Stegostoma tigrinum: one gene and its partners. The protein of the gene in region 1 interacts with the protein of each later gene in a biochemical or structural test. Links are inferred from orthologs where the notes say so. Each region holds a gene or a part of one and is shown in the gene's direction. Other genes may lie near its edges. The genes, in order: ube2kb, uba1, rlim and anapc11.

Evidence for each region.
Region 2: of the proteins of ube2kb (region 1) and uba1, one has a biochemical effect on the other in vitro, tested with the Homo sapiens proteins (9 studies listed by BioGRID, with this or other methods). The link is inferred for Stegostoma tigrinum from reciprocal best matches to the Homo sapiens genes UBE2K and UBA1.
Region 3: the proteins of ube2kb (region 1) and rlim form a complex in vitro, tested with the Homo sapiens proteins (2 studies listed by BioGRID). The link is inferred for Stegostoma tigrinum from reciprocal best matches to the Homo sapiens genes UBE2K and RLIM.
Region 4: the proteins of ube2kb (region 1) and anapc11 form a complex in vitro, tested with the Homo sapiens proteins (3 studies listed by BioGRID). The link is inferred for Stegostoma tigrinum from reciprocal best matches to the Homo sapiens genes UBE2K and ANAPC11.

What each region holds. Positions count from the first base shown.
Region 1 is NC_081354.1:98,591,658-98,598,691, forward strand, and holds the start of ube2kb (ubiquitin-conjugating enzyme E2Kb (UBC1 homolog, yeast)), read left to right. Parts: upstream 1-4,012; 5' UTR 4,013-4,119; coding exon 4,120-4,182; intron 4,183-4,225; exon of another isoform or gene 4,226-4,289; intron 4,290-7,034. UniProt on the Homo sapiens protein: Accepts ubiquitin from the E1 complex and catalyzes its covalent attachment to other proteins. In vitro, in the presence or in the absence of BRCA1-BARD1 E3 ubiquitin-protein ligase complex, catalyzes the synthesis of 'Lys-48'-linked polyubiquitin chains.
Region 2 is NC_081364.1:12,926,036-12,933,529, reverse strand, and holds the start of uba1 (ubiquitin-like modifier-activating enzyme 1), read left to right. Parts: upstream 1-4,490; 5' UTR 4,491-4,607; intron 4,608-7,494. UniProt on the Homo sapiens protein: Catalyzes the first step in ubiquitin conjugation to mark cellular proteins for degradation through the ubiquitin-proteasome system.
Region 3 is NC_081368.1:21,549,895-21,557,478, reverse strand, and holds the start of rlim (E3 ubiquitin-protein ligase RLIM), read left to right. Parts: upstream 1-4,581; 5' UTR 4,582-4,702; intron 4,703-7,584. UniProt on the Homo sapiens protein: E3 ubiquitin-protein ligase.
Region 4 is NC_081375.1:22,110,728-22,118,420, forward strand, and holds the start of anapc11 (anaphase-promoting complex subunit 11), read left to right. Parts: upstream 1-4,673; 5' UTR 4,674-4,884; coding exon 4,885-5,059; intron 5,060-7,693. UniProt on the Homo sapiens protein: Together with the cullin protein ANAPC2, constitutes the catalytic component of the anaphase promoting complex/cyclosome (APC/C), a cell cycle-regulated E3 ubiquitin ligase that controls progression through mitosis and the G1 phase of the cell cycle.

The sequences.
Region 1 (7,034 bases):
TGAATCTCCTTTGTAGTTCCTTGGCTAATCTATGTCATGGAGTGCCTGGTAGGGAGACTATGGGTCTGAGGGGTACTTCTGGCTTGTGCACTTTAGGGAGGCCGTAGAATTGGGGTGTGTTGGTTCCTTTGGGTTTCATTCTTGAGCAGTCTGCTATGTTGATCTGTCGTGTTTGTTTAAGTCTTTTTAGTGTGTAGAGGATTTTGTTGCCTAGTTGCAGTGTTGGGTCAGTTTGTACCGGCCAGTATGTATTCTCATTGGTGAGCAGTGCATGTGCCTTGGAGATGTAGTCCCTTTTTTTCAGTATCACTGTCATGTGCCCTTTGTCTGTGGGTAGTATTGTCATGTTCTTGTCCTTCTTTAATCCTTCCAGGGCCTGTCCTTCCCGTGTGTTGACTATTGAACACAGGGCAACAACACACTGCAGCAACACGGAACTTTGCCAAGAGGAAGAAGAATACCTCTTCCAGGTTTTCAAGGATAATGGATATCCAAAAAACTGGGTCAGAAGATGCCTACATGAACAACATCAGAAAGATACTACACACCCTGACACACTCATCACACTACCCTACATCAGGAATACGTCAGAACTCACCACAAGACTCTTATGACCGCTGGTCATCACAGTGGCACACAAGCCCATGTCAACCTTTCGACAACTGCTCACCTGAACTAAAGACCCACTCCCGCCATGGACAGGACCAACGACATCTACAAGATCCTCTGCAGTGACTTTGAGAAACAGAACATCGGAAAAACAGGAAGGAAACTAACAACAAGAGTACATGAACACCAACTGGCTACAAAATGATGTGACCAGTACTCACTCATCTCAATCTACATGGACAAGGAGAGCAGAGATAATGGGAACTGCAGATGCAGGAGAATCCAAGATAACAAAGTGTGAAGCTGGATGAACACAGCAGGCCAAGCAGCATCTCAGGAACACAAAACCTGATGTTTCGGGCCTAGACCCTTCATCAGAGAGGGGAATGGGGAGAGGGTTCTGAAATAAATAGGGAGAGAGGGGGAGGCGGACCAAAGATGGATAGAGGAGAAGATAGGTGGAGAGGAGTGTATAGGTGGGGAGGGGATAGGTCAGTCTGGGGAGGACGGACAGGTCAAGGGGGCGCGATGAAGTTGGTAGGTGGGAAATGGAGGTGCGGCTTGAGGTGGGAGGAGGGGATAGGTGAGAGGAAGAACAGGTTAGGGAGGCGGGGACGAGCTGGGCTGGTTTTGGGATGCAGTGGGGGAGGGGGAGATTTTGAAGCTGGTGAAGTCCACATTGATACCATTGGGCTGCAGGGTTCCCAAGCAGAATATGAGTTGCTGTTCCTGCAACCTTCGGGTGGCATCATTGTGGCATTGCAGGAGGCCCATGATGGACATGTCGTCTGAGGAATGGGAGGGGGAGTTAAAATGGTTTGCGACTGGGAGGTGCAGTTGTTTATTGCGAACCGAGTGGAGGTGTTCTTCAAAGCGGTCCCCAAGCATCCGCTTGGTTTCCCCAATGTAGAGGAGGCCACACTGGGTACAGTAGACTACATTGGCAGATGTGCAGGTGAACATCTGCTTAATGTGGAAAATCATCTTGAGGCCTGGGATGGGGGTGAGGGAAGAGGTGTGGAGGCAAGTGTAGCACTTCCTGTGATTGCAGGGGAAGGTGCCGGGTGTGGTGGGGTTGGAGGGGAGTACGGAGCGGACAAGGGAGTCATGGAGACAGTGGTCTCTCTGGAAGGCAGACAAGGGTGGGGATGGAAAAATGTCTTGGGTGGTGGGGTCGGATTGTAGATGGCGGAAGTGTCGGAGGATGATGCATTGCATCCGGAGGTTGGTGGGGTGGTACGTGAGGACGAGGGGTTTCTCTTAGGGCCGTTATTGTGGGGGCGGGGCGTGAGGGATGTGTTGCAGGAAATGCGGGAGACACGGTCAAGAGCGGTTTCAACCACTGCGGGGGGTGTAGGTTGAGGTCCTCGAAGAACGCGGACATCTGGGATATGCGGGAGTGGAATCCTGGGAGCAGATCCGGCAGAGGCGAAGGAATTGGGAATAGGGGATGGAATTTTTGCAGGGGGCTGGGTGGGAGGAGGTGTATTCTAGGTAGCTGTGGGAGTCGGTGGGCTTGAAGCAGACATCAGTTTCTGGCTGGTTGCCTGAGATGGAGACAGAGAGGTCCAGGAAGGAGAGCCACCATTTCAACTGGGACAATACCAAAATCCTGGGACAAGCTAGGCAGAGACAGGCACAAGAATTCCTAGAAGCCTGGCACTCCAGAAAGCAAGCAATTAATAAACATATTGAACTCAACCCCATATACATTTCACTATGAAGGAAAACCGGAAGTGAGGCAATCCATCTCAATGGACCCCAGAGTTTAAACACCGATGCTTCATCTGAGGCTGCACTGAGGATGTTACCCAGCATGGTAACGAAAGACTGCGAAACAAGAAATCAGCTCAGCAAGCCAACCAACCTCAAAAAACTTTAACTTTTATGGAAGGATTATCCCTTGCCATAAACATTTTAAAACTAATACAATTATGATCACTAGACTCAAGTGTTCCCCCAGAATCATCTCAGACACTTGCCCTGCCTAATTACCCAAGGAGTCAAAGATAATGGAAACTGCAGATGCTGGAGAATTCCAAGATAATAAAATGTGAGGCTGGATGAACACAGCAGGCCAAGCAGCTGCTCCTGAGATGCTGCTTGGCCTGCTGTGTTCATCCAGCCTCACATTTTATTACCCAAGGAGTCAAGTTTTGTTCCTTCTCTAGTAGGAACATTTACATATTGATAAAGAAAATTTTATTGAACACATTTAACAAATTCTTCACCATCCAAACCTTTAATACTATGGTAGTCCCAATCAATGCTTGGAAAGTTAAAATCCCCTCTTATTACAACCTTTTTATTCTGAGATCTCTCTACATACTTTTTCCTCAATTTCCTTCTGGCTATTGAGTGGCCCAAAATATAAACACATCACGGTGATCATTCCTTTCTTATTCCTAATTTCAATCCATATACTTTCACTGGATGAATTTTTGGAAATATTTTCTCTCGATACAGCACTAATGCTTTCCTCAATCAAAAACACCCCACACCCCACTCTATCCTACCTACAACATTGAGCTGCCAGTCCTGTCCTTCCCTCAATCAATTTTCTGCAATAGCAATGATGTCTCAACCCCATGTACCCAAACATGCCAAGCTCATCAGCCTTGTATTGAAATAAATGCAGTTTAATACTTCAGAGCTCCTTCTTTGTCTGACTTGTTCTTGCCTGTCTCTTCTAATTAGCTTGCTCTTTTCAGATTCATAACCATCCTTATGTATCTATTTACAATGCTACCTCTTTAATAGTTCGCAGTCTTCCTTAATAGAACTAGCACACCTCCCTGCCAGGATAACAAGGCGTAGAGCTGGATGAACATAGCAGGCCAAGCAGCATCTCAGGAGCAGGAAGGCTGACGTTTCGGGCCGAGACCCTTCTTCATTTCTGAACTCCACACCTGGAGAATTCAACAGCCAATTAAACTGAGTTTACAATCCAGAATGTGGGGAACATTAAAGAACATTACTTTCGAGCAGAGAATCATAAACAAACTACTTTCTGTTCACAAACGCCCTTGAAATAAGAGTGAGGCTTGGGGTTTGGGTGGATGCAAAGATGGACGTTAAGCAATGCATTACCCCAGCCCCCACCCCCTAAACATACGTAACATATCCTCCTTAGTGAGCCGCAATAACACACCAACAAGTCGGGGAAATCAGTGGGTGAGTATTATGACAGGTAGACCTTGCAGGGGATGTCATTTGACGCGGGTAAGGGATGAGGTTTGACCCTGTCCAGGTGTACACGGATCAGTAGCACGGAAGGCCTAAGTGTACTGAATGAAGATTACAGCCGAGCGGGCCCATATCGCTCCAACGTTCGCCAGTCAGCGACTGAGCCGCGAGCCCGTCACCGCCAGCCGCTCGCGCTTCTCGCCGACCCCATTCGCCCGACGGAGCTGTTGGAGTGCGCCTGCGCGGAAGCGCCGCCATTTTGGCCGTGCTGATAGTCTGATGTTGTAAGGAAGGCTGAGCCGAGGCCGAGCAGCGCGTCGCGAAATGGCCAATATCGCAGTGCAGCGAATTAAACGAGAGTTTAAGGAGGTCTTGAAGAGCGAAGAGGTAAGAGTTGCTCCCAACCTCACCTACGCTAATCTGTTCATACCTTCTTGGTTGACTGGCTGCGGACGGGAGAGGAGAGTGCGGGGAGTTTCATGGTGATGGACACGGGACCGGGTGATGGACAGGCGCCAGAGGCGGTTTCGGGAAAGTCCAGGGAGCCTTTGCGGGGCTTACTATAAGTCACTTTTTTAAAAGCTGCTGCAAATCTGCCGTTTATCAATGTCATAGCAATGGCGTGGTTGATGTGAAGCTCTTCAAATGCCGGATTTTTGGGAGGTCCGGGTGGTACCTTGAGCACTCAGGTTGTTGCTAAGCTTGTAGGCGTGTGACATTTTTCCACCACCATGCGAGACATCCACCTCCACATTAATTTTGTATACGGCTGAGTTCGTGGTGGAAGGAATTGAGATGAACGGTTTATTTCATGTTATTGCTAAGGTTTAGTCTAATGCTTTTCTTTGTTTAGAAACCGTATTGGTATCGGATGACATCGTCTCGTTAGGTGATATCTGGTTTCCACAATTGACATTTGGTTATTTTGCTGTGTTAACATGTTTTTCATTTCAGATATGCATTTACTTCACCACATCAGTTTTCTTTTAAACAAAAGGGAACGCAGGAATTTAGATCCGTGATTACGTTAAGCTAAACGACTATATAAAGTTTATCATAGTTATGAATTTAAATCTGCTTTAGACGTATTAAGTTGGTCAAAAATTAGTTATCTGCATATGGTTAGGCTCCAACTGACAATTTCTTTCCGAAGATTACAATTTTTTTTATCAGGTGTTGGTCAGTTTTATCATCTTGGAGTACTAATGCTAACTGTAGAACCTTACATAGTTTTCTGAAAGAATTCTACTTTTGAGCAATGTGCTCAGTCCCTACCTACTTTGAAAAGTTTTTGCAAATACCTTTTAATGTAGGTAGTAGATATGGGATTGCTTACATTAAAATTACATTAAAATACAACTCAGTTGTATTAAGTGTTTTGAACTATTTCTTCAAGGGTGTAATTGCATATTATTGATAACTGCAGATGTTTGATCAGTTATATGTTTACAAATAAAACATGTGACAGTTATGTTGTTCACTAGGATTTTATTTGATTTGTTTTCAGTATCTTCCTTATGATCTGATTGGGCCTCCGGCATGAGTGTGTCGCTGGTAAGGCCAAATTGCCTGGTCCAAATTGCCCTTAAAGATGGTAGGGTGCTGCCTGAGAATCCACGAATCATTCAATACTGAAGAGGCCCTTTGTGCCATCTAATCTGCCCTGCTGAAAATACACTACTATATACACTAGTCCTATTTTCCCATGCTAGGTCTATAGCCTTGAAGGTTATGAGCTCTTGAAGTGCCATCTAAGTACTTTTTTAAAGCTTGTGAAGTTTCCTACCTCACCAAACCCACCATGCAGTGTATTCCAGACTCTCACCATCTGTCTAGATGAAAAAGGTTTTCCTCAAATTCCCTCTAAACTTGTATTTTACTTTTAAAATTATGCCCCTTTTGTTATTGATTCTTTGATTAGCAGGAACAGCTGATTTTTCGTCGCCATGTCCATGCCCTTCATAATTTTACACACCTCCACTAGGTTTCATCTCAATTTCTGTGCTCAGAAGAAAACAACACCAGGTTATCCAACTTCTCTGCATAGCTGCAGTGCTTCATCCCTGGCAACATCCTGGTGAATCTTCTCTGCAGCCCCTCCAGTGTTATTACATCCTTTCTATAGTGTGGTGACTAGAACTGCATGCAGTATTCCAGGTGTGGCTTAACCAAGCTTCTGTAAAGCTTTAACATGATATCCCTGTTCTTATAATCATTGTCATGACTGGTGGACGCAAGTGTCCCATGTGCCTTTTAACTGTCCTGTTAATCTGTCCATCAGGGATCTGAGGACAAGCGCGCCAAAAATTCTCTCTCTTATTCTGAGCTTTATTGTGTCCTGCCATTCATTGGGTACTTGTTCCTTGTTCCTTCTTCCAAAGTACATCACCTCATGTTTGTTACTGTTAAATTCCATCTGTCACCGATCTGTCCATCTGACCAATCCATATCCTTCTGTCACCTAACACCTTCCTCCTCACAGTCAAACACCTAGATAATCTTTGTGCCATCTTCAAACCTACCCTATCAACCCCATTTTTGAATATCAAAAACAATAGGGTCCCAGTGCTGATCCTCATGGGATGCTACTGTACACTGGACTTCATTTACATAAACAACTTTCTATCAACACCAATTGGCTCTTGAGCTGCTACAGTTCATATGGTGTAGGTTCACCCATGATGACAGAAGCAGTTCCAGGATCTTGACCCAGCAACAATAGACACATATTGCCATTCTAAGTCAAAGTAGTGTGTGGCAGGGAGGATCTTGCTGGTGGTGTTCAACGCATCTGCGACCCTTATCCTCCTAGGTAGTAGAGGTTGCATGAATGGAAGTTGAAGGTCTTGTGGTGGTGGTTGGCATACACATTCTAAGTGTAATGCTACATCATCACTGTGCGTCAGTAGTGGGAAAATGGATATAAAGTAAGGGGGTTGCTTTGTCCTAGATTGTGTTGAGCTGCTTTTTAACTGTTTTGGATTTGCATTTGTCCAGGACAAAGCAGAGCTTTCCATCACCCTCCTCACTAATTCCTTGTTGGTGGAAAAGCTTTGGGCAGTCAAATTTTCAGTCACTTGTAGAATTCTGATCTGTTTTTATAATCGGTGTCTGATTGTTGGTCCCTGCCAGAATGTTGATGGCAGGAGTTTAGAAATGGCAATGCCATAAAACCCCAATAAGAAATGGCTAGATTCTGTTTGGAAATAATAATTGTCTAGCATTTGTAACACAAATGT
Region 2 (7,494 bases), on another chromosome or scaffold:
GCCCTAGGGAAAAGACACTTGTCATTCACCTTATCCACATCCCTCATGATTTTATAAACTTCTAATTAAAAGGTTACCCCTCAACCGCTTACACTTCAGTGAAAAAAATCCCAGCATATCCAGCCTGTCTCCATAACTCAAACCCTCCCTCCCCAGCAACATCCGGGTAAATCTCTTCTGAACTCTCTCCAGCTTAACAATATCCTTCCTATAACAGGGCAACTGGAACTGGTCACAGTATTCCAGAAGAGGTCTCAACAATGTCCTGTACAACCTCAACATAATGTGCCAACTCCTACTCTCAAAGGTCTAAGCAATGAAGACAAGTGTGCCAAACTCCTTCTTAACAACGCTGTCTATATGGGATGCAAACTTCAAAGAACCCTGAGGTCTCTCTGTTCTACAACGCTACCCAAGGTCCCACTTTTAATTGTATAATTTTTGCTTTTGTTTTATTTACCAAAATGCAATACCTCACATTTAACCAAATTAAACTCCATCTGCCACTCTTCAGCCCATTGGCTAATTGATCATGGCTTCTTTGTTATCTTCCATAATCTTCTTCACTGTTCTGCTGCACCATCAATCTTGGTGCCATCTATGTATAGGGATATCGGGATATTAACCCTTGAGCGGAGCTGCTGTTGTGGGAAGGGAGTCATTGAGAGAAGACACCGAGTCATCGACAGGGAGAGAGAGAGAGATCAGTGGCAGTCAATCTGCACATCTCTGCTGTGTGGACATTGGCAGGGCGCACGCGGCAGAAAGTTGAGTGTGAAATGTCAGGAAACTGCATTTCAAGGATAATAGCAGCTGGGCTCGACTTTTTTCTATCAGTTATTTTAAAATAAACACAGGGTGAAAGCATTCCCGTTTGACCCAAACCCTCTGCTATATGCTTCAAATAAGCTTTCCACACCAGCAAATGTGAATTCATTCGGAGTCTAAAATTTCAATTTCACTTTGTGCTCCTGAGATGCTGCTTGGCCTGCTGTGTTCATCCAGCCTCACATTTTATTATCTTGGAATCTCCAGCATCTGCAGTTCCCATTATCTCTTCACTTTCACTTTCTGTTTCCTCTCAGTCTGGGAGTTTTCAAATAAATTTGGACCTTAGTCTCTGACAATAAGCTCCGCCCCTTAAAGTGGCAATGACAACAACACTAACGAGAAAGGCAGATTCTGGAAGTCTGAAGCAAAAGACAGAAATTGCTGGAGAAACTCAGCAGGTCGGGCATTCTGAGATAACAAAGTGTAGAGCTGGATGAACACAGCAGGCCAAGCAGCATGAGAGGAGCAGGAAGGCTGACGTTTCTGGCGTAGACCCTTCATCAGATATGGGGGAGGGGAAGGGGATTCTGAAGTAAGTAGGGAGAGAGGGGGAGGCGGATAGAAAATGGATAAAGGAGAAGATAGGTGGAGAGGAGACAGACAGGTCAAAGAGGCAGTGATGGAGCCAGTAAAGGTGAGTGTAGGTGGGGAGGTAGGGAGGAGATAGGTCAGTCCAGGGAGGACAGACAGGTCAAGGGGGCGGGATGAGGTTAGTAGGTAGAAAATGGGGGTGGGGCTTGAGGTGGGAGGAGGGGATAGGTGAGAGGAAGGACAAGTTAGGGAGGCGGGGATGAGTTGGGCTGGTTTTGGGATGCGGTGGGGGGAGGGGGGATTTTGAAGCTTGTGAAGTCCACATTGATACCATTGGGCTGCAGGGTTCCCAGTGGGATATGAGTTGCCGTTCCTGCAACCTTCGAGTAGCAACGTTGTGGCACTGCAGGAGGCCCATGATGGACATGTCATCTGCGGAATGGGAGGGGGAGTTGAAATGGTTCGCAACTGGGAGGTGCAGTTATTTAGTGTGAACCGAGTGGAGGTGTTCTGCATAGCCTCTGTGCAGAGAAAGCAGAGTTAACATTCGGAATCCAGTGTCACTTCTTCAGAAAACAACTTGTGTTGCAAATCATTGAATGCCCTGTCTCTTTTATGTACAGTGCCATGATGTGGAGGTGCCGGTGATGGACTGGGGTGGACAAGGTCAGAAATAACACGCCAAGTTGGATTATAACCTGATATCGTGTTTCTTACACTGATCTAGAACATGAATAAAACTGCAATAGCTGTTACTATGTAAACAGCGGCAGCTCAACATGCTGCACAGTTCAAAAATACTAGTTAAAATGTCTGTGCTGCAAACAGGCCAGCATTTTTAATTGTTCAGATGCATTAATATACACTTCCAGAGCAGGGGCGACTCAAGCCCAGGCCTTTTGGCTCAGAGGTAGAGACACTACCACGGCACAACAAGAAGATCTTGTGGACATAAGAGAAAGAAGTGAATTTAATATAAAATATCAACTCAGCTCATTGAATGGTTGGGGCCGTTGAAAGGACTATGTAGCCCATTCCTGCTGTAATTTCTTACATTCTTAACCTCATAAGTCAGAGTTTCTTTCAAATCTCTAGCTTACTGGTTATTAAAGTGAATTTTATTTTTCATTCTTAGTCTGGGTATACTGCTGGCTAAAACAGCATTTATTGGTTGTCCCTAATTATCCAGAGGGCAGTTAAGAGTCAACCACATCGCTGTGGGTTTGGAGTCACATGTGGGCCAGACCAGGTGAGGATGGCTGTTTCCAACCCTAAAGGACATTCGTGAACCAGAAGGTGGGGTTTTCCAACAATCAATAATGGTCATCATTAGACTTCAGCTTCGCAAGCTTTATTGCTTTCAAATGCCCCCATCTGCTATGGTTGGATTTGAACACAGTAGTTTCTCACATTTCACAAACATTCTTACATATGTTATTGCCATGTCTGGCAAATGTGAAAGCCATTTTCCACCTTCCAAGGCTGACAAGTGGAAATGATATAAACAAGCAGGTACCTGGATGATGTTACTTGAACACAGGATAATTGTCAGATCACGATGAGGACTCCTCGATTTCATGAACCATGATTTATAGACATGGCCTCAGTTTAAGTGTGTCACCTCAAGGACAATAATGCAACAATTCATGAATTGGAATATGAGCCTAGCTTGTTCCCTTCAGTGGATTTTGGTTACCCCTCCTCTTCTAAATCATGACATCTTCCAATCTCAGGGAAATAAGAACATGGGGACAGGCCATTCAGTTTTGTCAGTCTGCATCCATATTTATCCCCAGAAAGTTGCACGGTGGCTCAGTGGTTAGCACTGCTCCCTCACAGTGCCAGGGACCTGGGTTTGATTCCACCCTCAGGTGACTGTCTGTGTGGAGTTTTACATGTTCTCCCCGTGTCTGTGTGGGTTTCCTCTGGGTGCTCCTGTTTCCTCCCACAGTCCAAGGATGTGCAGGCTAGGTGGATTGGCCAGGCTAAATTGCCCGTAATGTTCAGGGATGTGTAGGTTAAGTGGATTATAGGGGGATAGGTCTGGGTGGGATTCTCTGAAGGTCAGTGTAGGCTTGTTGGGCTGAAGGGCTTACTTCCACACTGTAGGGATTCTATGATTCAAAATTGTCTCTTATTTATTTTGTAGTCTGGACCTCAGCCACCTTGTTCCTCACCCTTCATTCACCTATTCAATGTCACCTGGAATTTTAGCATGTGGCCTGATTTTAACCTGACTGCTAACCAGCCATACTGAATTGAATACAACACCACCCCCAAAAAAACTCACATTATGTCCCATTGCCTCCGATTCAAACAGATGAAAGCTCAGGCTTTCATTTCTACCTGAATCACTGTCCCTGAAGTAAAATCTACAATTTCCCAATAACGTGTGTAAAGAAGTCTCACCTGCCGATTGTTTTACAGAGGGCTTTTCATTTTGTATATAAAGGCATAGAGATGTACCGCACAGAAACAGGCCTTTTGGTCCAACTCAACCATGCTGACCAGTTAACATAAATTAACCTAGTCCCATTTGCCAGCAAATGGCCCATGTCCTTTTAAACCTTTTGTGATGAAGGGTCTAGGCCCAAAACATCAGCCTTCCTGCTCCTAAGATACTGCTTGACCTGCTGTGTTCATCCAGCTCTACACCTTGCTATCTCCGATTCTCCAGCATCTGCAGTTCCTACTATCGTTCCCCTTTTAAAACTTTCCAAAAGCCTTTTAAATGCTGTAACTGTACTAGCCTCCATCACTTCCTCTGGCAGCTCATTTCATACATGGACCACTCTCTGCTTGGAAAAGTTAGCCCTTCGGTCCCTTTTAAACCGTTCCCCTCTCACCTTAAACCTATGTCCTCAGGTTTTGGACTGCCCTGCCCTGTGAAAAAGACCTTGGCTTTTCGCCCCATCCATGCCCCTCATGACTTTATAAGCCTCTAATGCATGGACCCCTTCAGTCTAGACCCCTCATCAATTGTTGGGAACAGTCTGTTTCTAACCGGTCGGTTCCGGGTCCTGCCGTTATACGCCCCAGCCTCGTCCGGTCTGAACGAGGACGCTGTCAGGAGTTGAAATGTGTTGCCCTTTTAAAGAGATCAGAATTTGGCAGGAAGCTTTTTGTTTCCTTTCTGTTGCTCGCTCTCCCAGATCAAGCGCAGGCAGTGTCATTCAGTTGATCGGAGCAATTTGTATCGCTGCCGGACAGAAGCACCTTCCTCAGGGACAAGAGAGTAAACTAAGGTGCGTTAGCGTTCGCGATATGTTGGTATAGCCATCAAAATCCGTGTTATAGTAAAATGCTGTAGAACAGTGCCCCAGGCAATTACTGAGGATGGTAAGCTCAGGTTATCATTGCTCCACTGAAACTGACTTTACAATCTACCAGCTGACCAAAGATATATTTTTGAGTTTTCAAATTTGGAACCAGAATTTTGCCTTTACGAATGAAAGCTTCTTCCTATTGCACTGAGGCGAAAGGCAATCTGTTGTTGTAGGAGTGAGTGACTTTATTTTACAAAGAGAAACTGCCTGTTGAAATTTGGTTGTTGAGCTTCCGTGGATTTATTGGAAATGAGATAACTGGACCGTCTGCAAATTTCTTCAGTTTAACAAATGAATGAAATTGACAAATTGTTTTGCTTCCCCCCACTCCCTTTTCCCATTTTGATTGATCATTCTGACAACGTGGACGGGAAGTTACACTTGAATTTGTTGACTTTGTGATGTATGCCCGCAGAATTGTTGCAATACCGAAAGAGACCATTCGACCCATCGTGTCAAAGAAGGAAAGCGAAATAAAGTGTAAAGGGGATTTTTTTTGTTAATTCCCCGTGAGTTTTAATGAAGTTGCTGCCAACTCGCATCTGAACCCTGTATGTTCCTCTGTTAGACCTTCAAATATTAATTGTGTTGAGGTGTTGTATGTAGTGCCAGAAATACAGATTTGCTATCCGACCGCCACCAATGCTCTTCACAATATGATTGTCAACTCTGATTGGATGCATTTGAGTCGAAGATTGATTGCTGATCAAAGCAAGGCCATTCAGCCCCTAGCATCCCTGATAGCTGTCTGTCGAAGCTACGCAGGGGGTCGCTTTCCTTATTGCGCTGAAAATACCTTCTCAGCATTATTATTCAATTCCCTCTTGAAAACTATGGTCGAATTCTCCTTTATACCCTCATACAGTATGTTCCTGATCCTTGCAACATTTTAAAAATTTTAAATTTCCCTTATTTCGGCAAAGCAGCTGGCTGGGACACCTTAGAAGATTTCCATTCATCTAGCACTCTCCCCCATCTCAGGACACCCAAAAGCTCATGTTACCTTTTATGATGCCAGACCACACCACCAAATTTATATTATGATCTGTGAGGGACTAGTGACTTTTTTAAAGTTGACATAGTTTCACATCCCAGGTATTTCCCAGAGAATAATGTCATAAGATTCCATGGTTTTAAACAGATAATGATAATCTTTACTATACAATGCAATGTACATATACGCACATATAAATTATATTCTAACATCCAGAATTAACGGGAGCCAAATGTGGGTAACAAATTGTGATTGATTGCCCTACAGAGCATGTCAAATTTCAGAAGCAATAAAGACATATCCCATGGATTTCTCAGCTATCCCTCCCTCCAAAAGCTTAATGACACAATGGATCATCAAATTTAATTTTAAAAATATCACAAGTGATTTCAATTCTTCACTTTTCACAATCTGGTCTGGAAAGTCCCTTAAGACCCGTTATGTCACAGACACTTCTGTTGACTGCTATGTTTTTATATTCACCTTCCTTTGAAGGGTCTGTGCTTCTCTAGATTGTGCAAACTGCACTCCGGCACAGCATTTACTTGCAGGCATAGATCCAGCTTTTCACCACCAACTGACTTTATCAAGCTAGTACTACACTTGTGTATTATCATGAGCTCTAGTCTTGTTTGATTGCGTCATGCTAATGCTGCTTTCAGGTTTTCCAATACCAACTCTCAATGGAACTTAATCATTAATATCTTGCAGACTTCTCTAAAACCCCACATTCTCTAAGCCTTCCTTAAGTCCCAACTCAACAGATCTATCCAATGCTCTTAAAACTTCTCATTGATCGTCCTACACAGAACCAGTATAGTTCAGTTGCCTTCCAGCATTTGACTGGGGTGCTGATGGGAGGATAGAATGCACAAATCACCAGAGCCAGAATTAGAGTATGATGCATTTGCTAATCCTCATGCACTTTTCTCTTTATACAACAACTGAACATGGACTGGAGGGTTGCCATCCTAAACACCTCCATTCAGTCTGAAAGCATGACCCTCGCTTCCAATACCCTGTCATTTTAGTTCTCAGCTCTCCCTCCAACTTTGGCCACTCTTTCCCTGGCCTCCTGAACTGTTCCAATGAAGCTCAACAGAAGCTCCAGAGGCCTCATATTCTAGCTTGGGTGTTTTACAGCCTTATGAACAGGGGGTGGAGTAAAATAATGTCCGATCACGATCACTGTCCCCATTGCTTTGGACAGCAAGGTCGTAGCTCTGATTCTGATTTAACTTCCTCATATTCCTTCTGGCTTGAGTGTCACCATCTTATTTTGCCTCATACCTTTATCCCTTTTGTTACATCCTTCTAGCATCCCATCACACCCCTTTCCTCTTGTGCTTTCCTCACTACCATCTTCCACAGTTTCTGTACTTACTTAAAACCTGTTATTTCTCAAAACTTCCCAGGTCTGATTTAAAAAGTCATGGCCTGAAACATTAGCTGTGTTTCTCTCTGTACAAAACCTCGAGGGGACTTGCTGTGTACTTTCACTTTTAATTGTAGATTTTAAGCATTTGCAAGATTTTGCTTTCAGTTTAAAGGTAAGGTAACCTGGGATATGTAAAACTTATATTATTCATTCACAGGATGAGGGCATCGCTGGCTAGGCAGCATTTATTGCCCATCCCTAATAGCCCAGAGGGCAGTTATGAGTCAACCACATTGCTGTGGGTCTGGAGTCACATGTACGCCAGACTAGGTAAAGATGGAAGTTTCCTTCCCTGAAGGAGATTAGTGAGCTAGATGGGATTTTCTCCAACCATTAGCAATGGATTTAAGGTCATCATTAGACCTTTAATTCCA
Region 3 (7,584 bases), on another chromosome or scaffold:
AGAGTGTTGGGAAAGCTGAAATAGCTGCAGATGCATAAAACACCTGCACCGGATGGACTGTTTACCAGAGTTCTGACGGAGATAGCTAAAGCAATCGTGGAAACATTGGTGGTGATCTTTCAGGAATCACTGGAGTCAGGGAAGGTCCCAGAGGACAAGAAAATGGCTAATGTAATACTCCTGTTTAAGATAGGAGGGAGGCAGAAGATGAGAGATGACAGACTGGTTACCTGAACTTTGTTGTTGGTCGGAAATTAAAGTCTGCTAATAAGGATAAGATTGCAGAGTACTTGTAAGTGCATGATAAAATAGGGCTGAGTCAGCATGGCATCTTGAAGGGGAGGTCACACCTGACAAATTTTGTTAAAAGTCTTTGAGGAGGTAACAAGCAAATTATACAAAGGAACAGGAGTGGATACGATCTGTTTGGATTTCCAGAAGGTTTTTGATAAGGTGCTGCACGGGAGTTTAGAAGGATGTGGAAAGGGGGTGGAGTTTCTCATTGAAACTTAAGAGGCCTGAGTACAGTGGACGTGGAGAAGAATTTTCCACTAGTAGGAGAGACTAGGGCCTGAGGGCACCGCTTCACCACGACCCTTTAGAACTGAGAAATTTTTTTAGCCAGAATGTGGTGAATCTGTGGAATTCATTGCTATAGAGTGCTGTGGAGGCCAATTCATTGAGTGTATTTAAAGAGGTAGATAGGTTCTTGATTGGTAGTGGGGTCAATGGTTAAGAGGAGAAGGCAAAAGAATGCAGTTGAGAAATATATATTTTTGAATATGCAATGAACAGGATTAATGAAGGCAAAGTGGTGGACATGATCCATATGGACTTCAGTAAGGCGTTCGAGAAGGTTCCACATGGTAGACTGGTTAGCAAGGTTAGCTCACATGGAATATAGAACTAGCCAATTGGATACAGAGTTTACTTAAAGATAGGAGACAGAGTGTGGTGGTGGAGGGTTTTTTCTTGGACTAGAGGCCTTTGACCAGCGGTATGCCTCAAACATCGGTATTGGGTCCACTGCTTATTCATCATTTATATAAATGATTTGGATGTGAACATAGGGTTATGGTTAGTAATTTTACAGACGACAACTAAATTCGGTGGTGTTGTGGACAGCCGGGAAGGTTACCTCAAAGTACAATGGGATCTTGATAAGATGGGCTGGTGGGCTGAGGTGTTGCAGACAGAGTTTAATTTAAATAAATGTGAGGTATTGCATTTTGGAAAGGCAAGTCAAGGCAGCACTTATATACTTCATGGTATTGTTGCTGAGAGTGTTGCTGAACAATGAGACCTTGGAGAGAGATAATGGGAACTGAAGATGCTGGAGAATCCAAGATAATAAAGTGTGAAGCTGGATGAACACAGCAGGCCAAGCAGCATCTCAGGAGCACAAAAGCTGACGTTTCGGGCCTAGACCCTTCATCAGAGAGGGGGATGGGGTGAGGGTTCTGGAATAAATAGGGAGAGAGGGGGAAGCAGACCAAGGATGGAGAGAAAAGAGGATAGGTGGAGAGGAGAGTATAGGTGGGGAGGTGGGGAGGGGATAGTTCAGTCCAGGGAAGACGGACAGGTCAAGGAGATGGGATGAGGTTAGTAGGTAGGAGATGGAGGTGCGGCTTGGGGTGGGAGGAAAGGATGGGTGAGAGGAAGAACAGGTTAGGGAGGCAGAGACAGGCTGGACTGGTTTTGGGATGCAGTGGGTGGAGGGGAAGAGCTGGGCTGGTCGTGTGGTGCAGTGGGGGGGAGGGGACGAACTGGGCTGGTTTTGGGATGCGGAGGGGGAAGGGGAGATTTTGAAGCTGGTGAAGTCCACATTGATACCATTGGGCTGCAGGGTGCCCAAGCCGAATATGAGTTGCTGTTCCTGCAACCTTCGTGTGGCATCATTGTGGCACTGCAGGAGGCTCATGATGGACATGTCATCTAAAGAATGGGAGGGGGAGTGGAAATGGTTTGCGACTGGGAGGTGCAGTTGTTTATTGCGAACCGAGTGGAGGTGTTCTGCAAAGCCGTCCCCAAGCCTCCGCTTGGTTTCCCCAATGTACAGGAAGACACACCGGGTACAATGGATGCAGTATACCACATTGGCAGATGTGCAGGTGAACCTCTGCTTAATATGGAAAGTCATCTTGGGTCCAAAACCAGCCCAGTTCGTCCCCTCCCCCGACTGCACCACACAACCAGCCCAGCTCTTCCCCTCCACCCACTGCATCCCAAAACCAGTCCAACCTGTCTCTGCCTCCCTAACCTGTTCTTCCTCTCACCCATCCCTTCCTCCCACCCCAAGCCGCACCTCCATCTCCTACCTAATAACCTCATCCCACCTCCTTGACCTGTCTGTCTTCCCTGGACTGACCTATCCCCTCCCCACCTCCCCACCTCCCCACCTATACTCTCCTCTCCACCTACCTTCTTTTCTCTCCATCTTCGGTCCGCCTCCCCCTCTCTCCCTATTTATTCCAGAACCTTCACCCCATCCCCCTCTCTGATGAAGGGCCTAGGCCCGAAACGTCAGCTTTTGTGCTCCTGAGATGCTGCCTGGCCTGTTGTGTTTGTCTAGCTTCACACTTTATTACAATGAGACCTTGGAGTACAGGTTCATAGTTCTTTGGAAGTAGAGTCACAGATAGGTAGCGTAGTGAAGGAGGTGTATAGTGTGCTTCCCTTTCTTGGTCAGTGCAACGGGACTTGGGAGGTCATGTTCTGGTTGGTTGGATATTGGTTCGGCCACTTTTGGAAACCTGCATGCATTTCTGACCTCCCTATTACTGGAAGGATGTTGTGAAACTTGAAAGGGTTCAGAAAAGATTTATGAGGATGTTGCCAGGGTTGGAGGGCTTGAGCTATAGGGAGAGACTGAATAGGCTGGGGCTATTTTCCCTGGAGCATTGGAGGCTGAGAGGTAACCTCATAGAAGTTTATAAAATTATGACGGCCATGGACAAGGGGGATAGACAGGTCTTTTTCCTGGGGTAGTGCAGTCCAAACTAGAGGCATAAGTTTGAGGTGAGAGGGGAAAGATTTAAAAGGTACCTAAGGGGCAAATTTTTCACACAGAGGATGGTGCATGTATGGAATGGGATGCCAGAGGAAGTGGTAGAGCTTGGTCCAATTACAACATTTAAAAGGCATCTGGATGGGTAAATGAATAGGAAAGATTTAGAGGGATACAGGCCAAATGCTGGGAAATGTCTCCAAATTAATTTAAGATATCTGGTTTGCAAGGATGATTTGGACTGAAGGGTCTGTTTCCATGCTGTACAGCTCTGTGACTCAATAAACATGATCGAATGGTGAGCAGACTCAGTAGACCAGAAGGCCTGATACCGCTCCTATATCTTATGGTACTAATATATAGTTAATTCCTCACTTGCTTAATCAAGTCATAATTATTGAAAACTAACTCAAGTCTACATGGGTTGCAGATAATTGTGGTTGAGCATATCACGTAACAGCTACAATCAGATTGTGCAGATTCTCAGCAATTTACCCCCTCCCAGTCAAGGCTAGTGACACCGAAGAACACCAAATCTCATTAAAATTTGGAATCTGCATTCTCGCACTTGCTGTCAGGATCAATTGCAACTTTTCACAGATAGCTTCACCAAGTTAGCATTTTGACTGAAATTTTTTGACTTTTAAGTTTGCTCAGCTGTGCAAAGCAAATACTATTTCTGGGATTTTCAACCACCATCTTCAGCTACAGTGAGGTATTAATTGACTGCAACTTTATTCTGAGGTCCTCAGTTTCCAGACATTCCAGAGCACTGACTCTAACATTGTGCTGCTCAGAATTATCCAATGTTCTGCTAGACTTTTCTCTGAGCTTCACAATACAGAAAGAGCAGTGTTCTCAACATTAGATTTCTCATGGAGCCTGCTTTTGGCTCCCTTACTCACTCTCCAACCACATATAACTCTTGAATTCTTGAAATCTATGAAATATTCTGAGCGACTCATTGCAACAAGCCTGATCTTGTTCCTTGGCAGGACTGAATTTTAAATAGGGGAACTCAAATGAAGAAAGTGCTTGGACCTGTCTATTCCCTCGATGTTCACAACCTGCTGGGGTACACTGGGAATAACAGGGCTCTTATGCCAGCAGACCTGGGTTTACACCCCACCTGCTCCAGAAGTATGTCTCTGACCAAGTAGAATAGAAAATATTTGTACAAAAGAGAGGATTTCATCACATTCTCTCCACATCTGCTGTCTGGCCTTTATTTATTATTATTATTAATTCACAAGATGAGCACATCACCGGCTGGTCCAACATTTATTGTCTATCCCTAAATGCCCAGGGGGCAGTTAAGAGTCAACCACCTTATTGTTGCTGAGAAATTCCTGGTACTTATTTTGTGTATATTTAAACATCTGCTTTAATATGACAGTAAATATAATCGAATGCATAGGGATATGAACTGCAGTTCTTTTAAAGTAAAAAAAAACTGCTTTGATTCATGCTTTCTTGCAGAGGCGATGATGTCGTGCCCGGAATCTTTCTCCAGGAGTTGAGCCGTTGTGCGGGCTGGTGGGATGGTTTTGGGTAGCGGTTCCCACCTGCCGGGGGGATGACAGAAGCGGCGGGACACTGCGCTGGTTTCCTGTTTCCGCTTGTCTCTCCCACTCTAACAATGGTGGTAACGGTGTGAGCGGCCCGACCCGAACGGATCGAACTCGACGTGAGCAGGTGAGGGCGCCCGGGGCCGGAGGGCTCTCACGGCCGGTGCTGGCAGATCGCGGTTGGCGGCGCCTATTGATTTCTTCTCGCCCTTCTCTGTCCTCCCTGTCGCCGGTCGCGCACACCCTGCTGCGTACGGCAGCTTGTGAACAGGCCGATGGGGAACCGGCGCCGGGGAAAGGCCCAGGCTCTGCGGCCTAATCTCAGCCATGGCGGGGCGTGGATAAGACGGCCGGGGATTCCGTGAGGGTTTAACCACCCCATCTCCCATGTTTTTTCCCCTAAACTCCGGGCTGCTTATTCTTCCCGCCGGTTTACAAAACCAATCCCTCCTTTTTTTAAAAAAAAGTCGGCGTCTTTTGAAACAGTCCCCTTCTCAGCGCAATTACTTCAGATAAAATCACCAGGTGTTTCCATATTTTTAAAGCCTGATTGCTCCCGGTTTGTTTTCTTTTTGGTTGGGCCACTTTGTCTTTTTTGTTTGTCTTGATGAAATTATTCGGAGCTAATTTACTATTTTCTCCTGTGTCACTGCCTACCCTTGGAGCTATGGGAGGGAATGCTGGAGGGAAGGATGAGTGTTTTTTTAATGCTAATACGGTTCGTCAACAGGTTCAGTTTCCTGTCTTAGTGCGAATTTATTTTTGTGTTCTCCTTTTGCCCCCTCACTGTCGCCTTGGTAATAATCACCGATTGATCTACAATAGAAGTCTGGCGCATTACGATCTTTGTGATTGCGTAACTGGCTTTATGTAGGTCAATAGTGCAATATAGCAGAAGATAGAAATACACTGGTGCTTTGAAACAAAAAAATGATGCTTTTGAGCGAAGTCTTGAAGCTTCCTTCTTTCTCAGGTTGGTGTATGTTTGGACTTAAGTGGGATATTAATGGTGACGATAGCGTAAAACAGGCATTCATTGCTTTTGTGATAATGGGAACTGCAGATGCTGGAGAATCCGAGATAATAAAATGTGAGGCTGGATGAACACAGCAGGCTCAGGAGCACAAAAGCTGACGTTTCGGGCCTAGACCCTTCATCAGAGAGGGGGATGGGGTGAGGGTTCTGGAATTAATAGGGAGAGAGGGGGAGGCGGACCAAAGATGGAGAGAAAAGAAGATAGGTGGAGAGGAGAGTACAGGTGGGGAGGTAGGGAGGGGATAGGTCAGTCCAGGGAAGACGGACAGGTCAAGGAGGTGGGATGAGGTTAGTAGGTAGGAGATGGAGGTGCGGCTTGGGGTGGGAGGAAGGGATGGGTGAGAGGAAGAACAGGTTAGGGAGGCAGAGACAGGTTGGACTGGTTTTGGGATGCAGTGGGTGGAGGGGAAGAGCTGGGCTGGTCGTGTGGTGCAGTGGGGGGAAGGGGACGAACTGGGCTGGTTTTGGGATGCGGTGGGGGAAGGGGAGATTTTGAAGCTGGTGAAGTCCACATTGATACCATTGAGCTGCAGGGTTCCCAAGCCGAATATGAGTTGCTGTTCCTGCAACCTTCGGGGGGCATCATTGTGGCACTGCAGGAGGCCCATGATGGACATGTCATCTAAAGAATGGGAGGGGGAGTGGAAATGGTTTGCCACTGGGAGGTGCAGTTGTTTATTGCGAACCGAGCGGAGGTGTTCTGCAAAGCGGTCCCCAAGCCTCCGCTTGGGGACCACTTTGCAGAACACCTCCGCTCGGTTCGCAATAAACAACTGCACCTCCCAGTGGCAAACCATTTCCACTCCCCCTCCCATTCTTTAGATGACATGTCCATCATGGGCCTCCTGCAGTGCCACAATGATGCCCCCCGAAGGTTGCAGGAACAGCAACTCATATTCGGCTTGGGAACCCTGCAGCTCAATGGTATCAATGTGGACTTCACCAGCTTCAAAATCTCCCCTTCCCCCACCGCATCCCAAAACCAGCCCAGTTCGTCCCCTTCCCCCCACTGCACCACACGACCAGCCCAGCTCTTCCCCTCCACCCACTGCATCCCAAAACCAGTCCAACCTGTCTCTGCCTCCCTAACCTGTTCTTCCTCTCACCCATCCCTTCCTCCCACCCCAAGCCGCACCTCCATCTCCTACCTACTAACCTCATCCCACCTCCTTGACCTGTCCGTCTTCCCTGGACTGACCTATCCCCTCCCTACCTCCCCACCTGTACTCTCCTCTCCACCTATCTTCTTTTCTCTCCATCTTTGGTCCGCCTCCCCCTCTCTCCCTATTAATTCCAGAACCCTCACCCCATCCCCCTCTCTGATGAAGGGTCTAGGCCCGAAACGTCAGCTTTTGTGCTCCTGAGATGCTGCTTGGCCTGCTGTGTTCATCCAGCCTCACATTTTATTCATTGCTTTTGGTGTGGTTTACTTTGCAATATAATTAAGTGAGAATATGTCTGATGTTTGTAAAATGAAAACTTCATGTGAACAAATTGTTCTGTTTTGTTGACTTTTTTTCCCTCAAGCTTGAGGGTACACTAAACAGAGAGCTAAGATTGCTATATGCAAGAAACGTGGAATTTGGGCATGTGCTGTGGAGTAATTCAAACTTTCTGACTGGTTGCCTTTGAATTTATCTCAACTTTGATTTTAAAAAATCAAACTGTATCTCCCTCTTACACATACTCTTTGTTACAGGGATAATAAAGATTTTTGTCGATTTTTCAGTTGCCATTTCTTCCATCACAGTTCAGTGATTATTAACATTTATAAGTTACATCATTAACAGTGATGGCAGACTTGCGCATTGGGTGATGAATGTACAGTACTAAGAATTCTTTATTTAGAATAGATGTAAATTTATAGTTTTTAATTCCATCTGGGTGTGAGGTATATTGATTTCCTTGTACTTGATCAAAACGTGACCAGTGATTTTTATTGTTCTCAATAATTATCTTTACAAATTTAACAAT
Region 4 (7,693 bases), on another chromosome or scaffold:
ATTCTGCATCAGATATTCCAGTCGCTTTCCAAATGAACTAGTTTCTAAAAAATGCTGCTGTGTACCAACAACAGTCTTGGAATGGCGTAAACAGGTTGCAGGGCAGCTTCTGCCTCTGAGAGGACAGGAAGTGCCATTGTTGACATTGGAATGTTCTGATTGGCTAGAGGCACTAGTCAGCCCAGAAATGCCAAAATTTAGCACTGTGCACTGCCACGATTGCAAGCATATCCATGTAACAAAACACTAGTATCTAGAATGAGGTAAGTCCTGTTCTTTTAGGGCAGGAATGAATGGGACACTCTAAGGAGCAGGTGGAGGAATGAGGTGGATTTCCAAGGTCAAGTGAAGATGAATAAAAGAGGGGAGGGTATGGCATTTAGAAAGGGGTCTCCTGGGTGATATTACTCTCTCAACCAATATTATTTAAACCAGATTGACTATTCATTGTATTTTACTGTTTCTTGTGGCACCATGCATTGTGTGAAAAGGCTGTTATAGACCAAACAACATGGAAATAGACCCTTCAGTCCAACTAGACCACTTGTATTCACCTGTAAATTGGCAATGAGAACATTTCAGACTAATTAATTGTATGTGATACTTTGATGCGTTCTTGAAAGGAAAAATGCAGTATTATATAAATATTAAGTATTTTTTTCTTTATATAGATTTAATTGATCAATTTGATGATACCAGGATTAGACAATGATACTGATTATAGAGTAGGTACGTAACTAGCAGGTATTATTCTGGTGTCCCAGGTGCCACAATTGAAACTCAGTTTTGTCCAATGTCTTTTTGCAATGAAAGAGTTAAAGTGCTTTCAATCTCAATTGTGAATTGTTGCATCCAAATAAAGCAAAACAAAAATGTATATCTTCAACTCTGGGTTCAACTTATGGACGTAAAACTTCTGCTTCCCTTTCAAACTGTGCATTCACCTGACCTATTCATTTTCCCTCCTTCTTCACTCATATAGAAATTGTTGCTGCACACTGTCATTGCAAAAAGCAAAGTACGACAGCAATGACCACATATGCTCCACTTTACAGCTAATTAATGTTAGCACAGATCTTGTTTTTGTAAAATGATGAAAAGTACATGAGAAAATATCCATGGCTTTTACATACTACTTATAGGCCATTGAGTGAAACATTCAAGCCAGCACCACCATGTTGTCTGTAGGGCTGATACGGCCATAGGAATTTGACATTCCATATTTCGGGTCAAGTTTCCAATCATCTGGGCAGTTATGTGCTACATACCTACACAGATCACATTGGAGAGTTAAAACTCAAACAATAATACTAGAACCGCTCAGCAAATCTGGCAGCAAAGCATCTATGAAAAGAGAAAAAGAATTAATATTTCAGATCAGATGTTGCCAAACGTAATGAGCGATGGCTGCATTTTCTGATTTTATTTCAGATTTCTAGAATCAGCAATTCTTTTAAAAGTTGAAACTTTGCTTTTTTGTACTTAACTGTTCAATGTGAAGTTAAGATTCATGAAGAGTTGCAAAGATTGTCGAGAAAGCATACAAGATACTTGCCTTGATTATAAGAGCTGGGAAGTGATGCTGGAACTTCATATATTACAAATTGGACCACAGTTGCAGCACTGCAAGTTTGTCTGGTCACTGCAGAATGCCAATTCTGATCCATGCCAGTCATTGAGATAGATGCCACAACACCTTTTATTTAAAACAAACCTGTTCAGATGTTATGACAATATGGCAGGTGGGACTTGAACTGGATGTTCTGGCCCTGGGGGTAGGAATGCTAAAACTGTGTCACAACAAATTATTTTCAATCATCTTGTTCTGACATGTTGTTGCACACTTTTGGACCAGGTGGGCCTTGAAATAAGACATCCTAGCCCAGAGGTTGGTACACTGCCATTGTTCAACAAGAGCAGCCTGAAAGGATGGTGAATGTAAGTTCAGTCACAGCCTTCCAATGGAAATTGGATAAAAAGAAGTAAAAAAAGTTTCAAGAGAATGAAGCAAGAGCAGAGAAGTTATTTTCATAAAATATATCTTCACGCACATACCTTTTTACTCCCCCTTTGGGGAATGGAGATTTCGTTCCCAAGTTGGTTTTTAACCCATTAATCTGTAGCTTGAAAAAAGACAAAATACTGTGGATGCTGGAAATTTGAAACAAATACCAAAAATGATAGAGAAACTCAACACCCCCATTCTGTCTGTAGGAATCACACTGACCTCGCAGTTGCTCAATATTTCAATAAGCCACATAACTCTTATGCAACCATTTCTGTCCTGGGCCTGCTACAATGTTCTATCAAAGCGCAAGGCAATCTCGATGAACGACGCTTCATTTTCCTTTGCTTAGGCCTCGAGGTCTCAATATTGAATTCAATAACTTCAGAAACTGACCCCTTTATGTCCGTTATAGATGGGAAATGTCAGCACTAGAGATGGTGCGGGGGAGATTTACCATGATGCTGCCTGGGCTGGAAATTTTCAGTTATGAGAGATTGGACACACCAGGGCTGCTTTCCTTAAAACAGAGGAAATGGAAAGGGCACGTGCATGTGATGAATAAAAATATAGATAGGGCAGACAGAAAGAAACCTTCTTGCTGGAGGGATCAATGACTGACAGCATAGATTTAAGACAATGGACAGAAGGTTTTGAGAAGATGTAAGGAAAAACTTTTTCACTCAGAATCTAGAATTCATGGCATGTAAAGGTGGAAGAGGCAGAAACCCTCATAACATTAAGGAAGTATTCAGATGTACAGAGATAATAGGAACTGCAGATGCTAGAGAATCCAAGATGACAAAGTGTGGAGAGATAATGGGAACTGCAGATGCTGGAGATTCCAAGATAATAAAATGTGAGGCTGGATGAACACAGCAGGCCAAGCAGCATCTCAGGAGCACAAAAGCTACAATCCGACCCCACCACCCAAGACATTTTTCCATCCCCTCCCCTGTCTGCTTTCCGGAGAGACCACTCTCTCCGTGACTCCCTTGTTCGCTCCACACTGCCCTCCAACCCCACCATACCCGGCACCTTCCCCTGCAACCGCAGGTAATGCTACACTTGTCCCCACACCTCCTCCCTCACCCCCATCCCAGGCCCCAAGATGACATTCCACATTAAGCAGAGGTTCACCTGCACATCTGCCAATGTGGTATACTGCATCCACTGTACCCGGTGCGGCTTCCTCTACATTGGGGAAACCAAGCAGAGGCTTGGGGACCGCTTTGCAGAACACCTCCGCTCAGTTCGTAACAAACAACTGCACCTCCCAGTCGCAAACCATTTCCACTCCCCCTCCCATTCTCTTGATGACATGTCCATCATGGGCCTCCTGCACTGCCACAATGATGCCACCCGAAGGTTGCAGGAACAGCAACTCATATTCCGCCTGGGAACCCTGCAGCCATATGGTATCAATGTGGACTTCACCAGTTTCAAAATCTCCCCTTCCCCCACTGCATCCCTAAACCAGCCCAGTTCATCCCCTCCCCCCACTGCACCACACAACCAGCCCAGCTCTTCCCCCCCACCCACTGCATCCCAAAACCAGTCCAACCTGTCTCTGCCTCCCTAACCGGTTCTTCCTCTCACCCATCCCTTCCTCCCACCCCAAGCCGCACCCCCAGCTACCTACTAACCTCATCCCACCTCCTTGACCTGTCCGTCTTCCCTGGACTGACCTATCCCCTCCCTACCTCCCCACCCACACCCTCTCCACCTATCTTCTTTACTCTCCATCTTCGGTCCGCCTCCCCCTCTCTCCCTATTTATTCCAGTTCCCTCCCCCCATCCCCCTCTCTGATGAAGGGTCTAGGCCCGAAACGTCAGCTTTTGTGCTCCTGAGATGCTGCTTGGCCTGCTGTGTTCATCCAGCCTCACATTTTATTATCATGACAAAGTGTGGAGCTGGATGAACACAGCAGGCCAAGCAGCATTTTAGCAGCAGGAAAGCTTACGTTTCAGCCCTACACCCTTCATCAGAAATGGGGGAGGGGAAGGGGGGTTCTGAAATAAATAGAGAAGGGGAGGCAGATCGAAGATGGATAGGTGGAGAGAAGGCAGACAAGTCAAAGAGGCGGGGATGGAGCCAAAACCAGCCCAGCTTATCCCCGCCTCCCTAACCTGTTCTTCCTCTCACCTATCCCCTCATTCCACCCCCTTGACCTGTCCATCCTCCCCGGATTGACCCATCCCCTCCCTACCTCCCCACCTACACTCACCTCTACTGGCTCCATCCCCGCTTCTTTAACTTGTCTGTTTCCTCTGCACCTATCTTCTCTATCCATCTTCTATCAGCCTCCCCCTTGTCCCTATTTATTTCAGAACCCCCTTCCCCAATTCTAATGAAGGGTCTACGCCTGAAAGGTCAGCTTTCCTGCTCCTCTGATGATGTTTAGATGTATAGTTGGCATACAAGGCAAGTGCTGGAAAATGGGATTAGATTACTTAAGGTGGTTGTTTTTGACCGGTGTAGACGTGAAAGACCAGAGGGCCTTTTTTTCTGTGCTAATAGATCTTTATGACTCTGTGGACCTAATTCCTCCCAGAGCTCTTTCTCAATGGATCAGCTCTTCTCCCAATATACAGGAGAAACAAGCCTCCCTCCCTTCTGTGGAACCCGCCAATCAGAGGCGCCAAAGTGAACGGCCAATCAGAGCGCCTGAAACGGAGGTCCCGACGCGGGGAATCAAACGCAGAAACATCATCGATGTTGGAGGAAAAAAATATCCGATCTCTGAAACTTCAATGTTGTACTGTTGACGCCCGTTTTAGTATTTTGTTTTGGCCCCTGTGGCGGGAAGAAGAAATGTGTTTCGAAAGAATGTGTTCAGTTCAGCGCTTTGTTGCGGAGGCCTGCCCAGACATGATGAATGGAGTGTGATTGCGAACAGGATCCGGAGATTTCTCCCTTGCCCCGGGCTGTCGAACCGCCCGTCATGCGGGTCAAGGTGAAGCGCTGGAACGCCATCGCTACCTGGTTCTGGGTGGCTAACGACGAGAATTGTGGTATTTGCCGCACGGCGTTTAACGGCTGCTGCCCGGACTGTGAGTAAGGGGATGGGAAAGGAAAAGAGGGAGGGAAAGTACGGAAGAGAGAGAGAATGGGGACCGGAGGGAAAGAGAAAGGGAGAAAGAATACGGGAGACATGGGTAGGAGTGGGAGAGTATGGGGTAGAGGGTGGACCAAGCCTCCAAAATGGGTGACTGGAGATGCCCCGACCCCCCAGATCCTCCAATGCCCCAAACCCCCCAGATCCTCCAATGCCCCAAACCCCATCCCTCAAATCCTATTTACATTTTTGGGAAGATAAAGTTTAAATGATGTGGATATAGTTAAACACAAGCTAACCTAAATTCATTTCCAACATTAAGCCGGTGAGTGACGTTTCTGGTGGGAAAGCTCTTGGAGAAGGTAGAGGGACAGGATGCATGCACACTTGGAAGAAAATGGACTAGTTAGCAACAAACAGCATGGTTTTGTACACGGAAGGTTATATCTCACCAACCTGACCGAATTTTTTGAAGGGATGACACAGATAATTGAACAAAAAGCTGTGAATGTAGTTTATATGGACTTTGGTAAGGCATTTAATAAAGTCCCTCATGGCAGATTGGTACAAAAACTAAAATTATATGGGATTCAGGGTGGGCTGCTAGATGGAAATAAAACTGGCTTGATCATAGAAGACAGAGGGTAATGGTGGAAGGGTGTTTTTCAGAATGGAGACCAGTAACTCGTGTTCCACAGGGATCAGTCTTAGGTCCTCTGTTGTTTGTTGTGTATATATAAACGAGCTGGAGGAAAATGTGTGTGGTTTGATTAATAAATTTGCAGATGACACAAAGATTAGTGCAATTGTTGATAGTTGTTAAACGTACAACAGGATATAGATAGATTGGCAACTTGGGCGCAGAAATGGCAGATGGTGTTGCCATCTCTGACAAAGAAGGCATATGGCATGCTTGCGTTCCTCAGCTGAGGCATAGAGTACAAGAGTTGGCACAACATGTTGCAGCTATATAAAACCTTTGTTAGGCCGCATTTGGAGTATTGTGTGCTGTTTTGGTTGCCACATTTACAAAAGGATGTGGAAGCTTTGGAGAAATTGCAGAGGAGGTTCACCAGGATGTTGCCCAGTCTGGAGCGCATTGGCTATGAGGAAAGGTCAAAAAGACTAGGATTGTTTTCACTGGAAAGACTGCAGCTGAGAAGACAAGAGGTCTATAAAATTACAAGAGGCATAGATAGGGTGGATAGTCAAAAAGGCTTTTTCCTGAGTTGAACTTTCAATTACTAGGGGGCACGGGTTCAAGGTGAGAGAGCAGGAGTTTAAGGGAGATATGTGAGGAAAGTTTTTTTTTCATGCAGAGAGTGGTAGGAGTGTGAAATGCAGTCAGAGGAGATGGTGGAAGCAGGCACATTGGCAACATTTAAGAGGCATCTGGATGGCTACATGAATGGGGGGGGAATAGAGAGATATGGACCAAATAAGGGCAGAAGGTTTGTTTTTTGGTTTAGTCAGGGCATGATGATTGGCACAGCCTTGGAGGAGTGAATGGCCTGTTCCTGTGCTGTATTTCACATTTGTTCTTTTCCTCTTAAAGTTCATTCTGTTGCTACATGAAGTAGGAACCACTCTGAAGGTGCTTTCTGGTCAATAATTTCTTCTTTCCGCTATAATAATTATTTCAAATGGGATGGAACTGTAATCTGGCTTAGAAATGGCCGTTTACAAAATGTAAAAGAAGTAAGTTTCATTAGACTGACTTGCCCTTTAATCATTTCTCATGCATATTGAAGTGGTACTGTGCATCAAACTGTATTCCTTTTACTGAGTGTATTAGCTGCTGCACCATAATCTTTGCAAACTCCATTTCTCTGAAGAACCAGAACAGCAAGAACATAGGGATACCCTTATGCTGACATGAAATTGTGATGGTGTTTTCCTTCACTGTTGGAACACACTTTCTAAAGATATCTAGGTGTATCCACATCCCATGGGTTGCAATTGATACAACTACAGCAACAAGAGGAAGTTTTGAGGCTCTTCAGAGACTATGAAAAAAGATGTAACATTGAGTCACGAAGAGCTATTAGATCAGATGGCAAAAAACCTTGGTCAAAAAGATAGATTTTAAGGGGCATCCTAGAGAGGGAGAGAGACTGATGTTTCTGGAGGGCATTTCAGACCTTGGGACCTGGACAGCTAAAGACAAGGGTGGCGTAATTAAAATTGGGGCTGCTTGAGGCCATAATTAAAGCAACGCAATTATTTTATAGGGCTGGTAGAGTGCAAGTTATGGAGTGAGTTGAAAGCAAGGTCGAAAATTTAAGTCTGAGTACCACTATAAATCTAAGCACTGGTGTGGGAACTAAACTACATTTAATGTGAGTTAGCAAACTATTAGCTGATTGTGAATGAACATGTTAATTTAAAGGAACCTAATAAAATTCTGTACATAAAATTTATACACATACCTTGGTCTATGTTCACTTAACAGAAATTAATTTGCAAAATATTGTATAGGCTTGCTGTGGACATTTGTTTCAACTCAGCAAAGAAATTTGGACTTGAGGTGCTACAGTATACTGGGAGTCCTGCTTTTGCTTGACACTTGAATACTTGTTTTAAAAATGCATTTACGTGGTAACTGATTAATGTGTTCAATCATTTCACC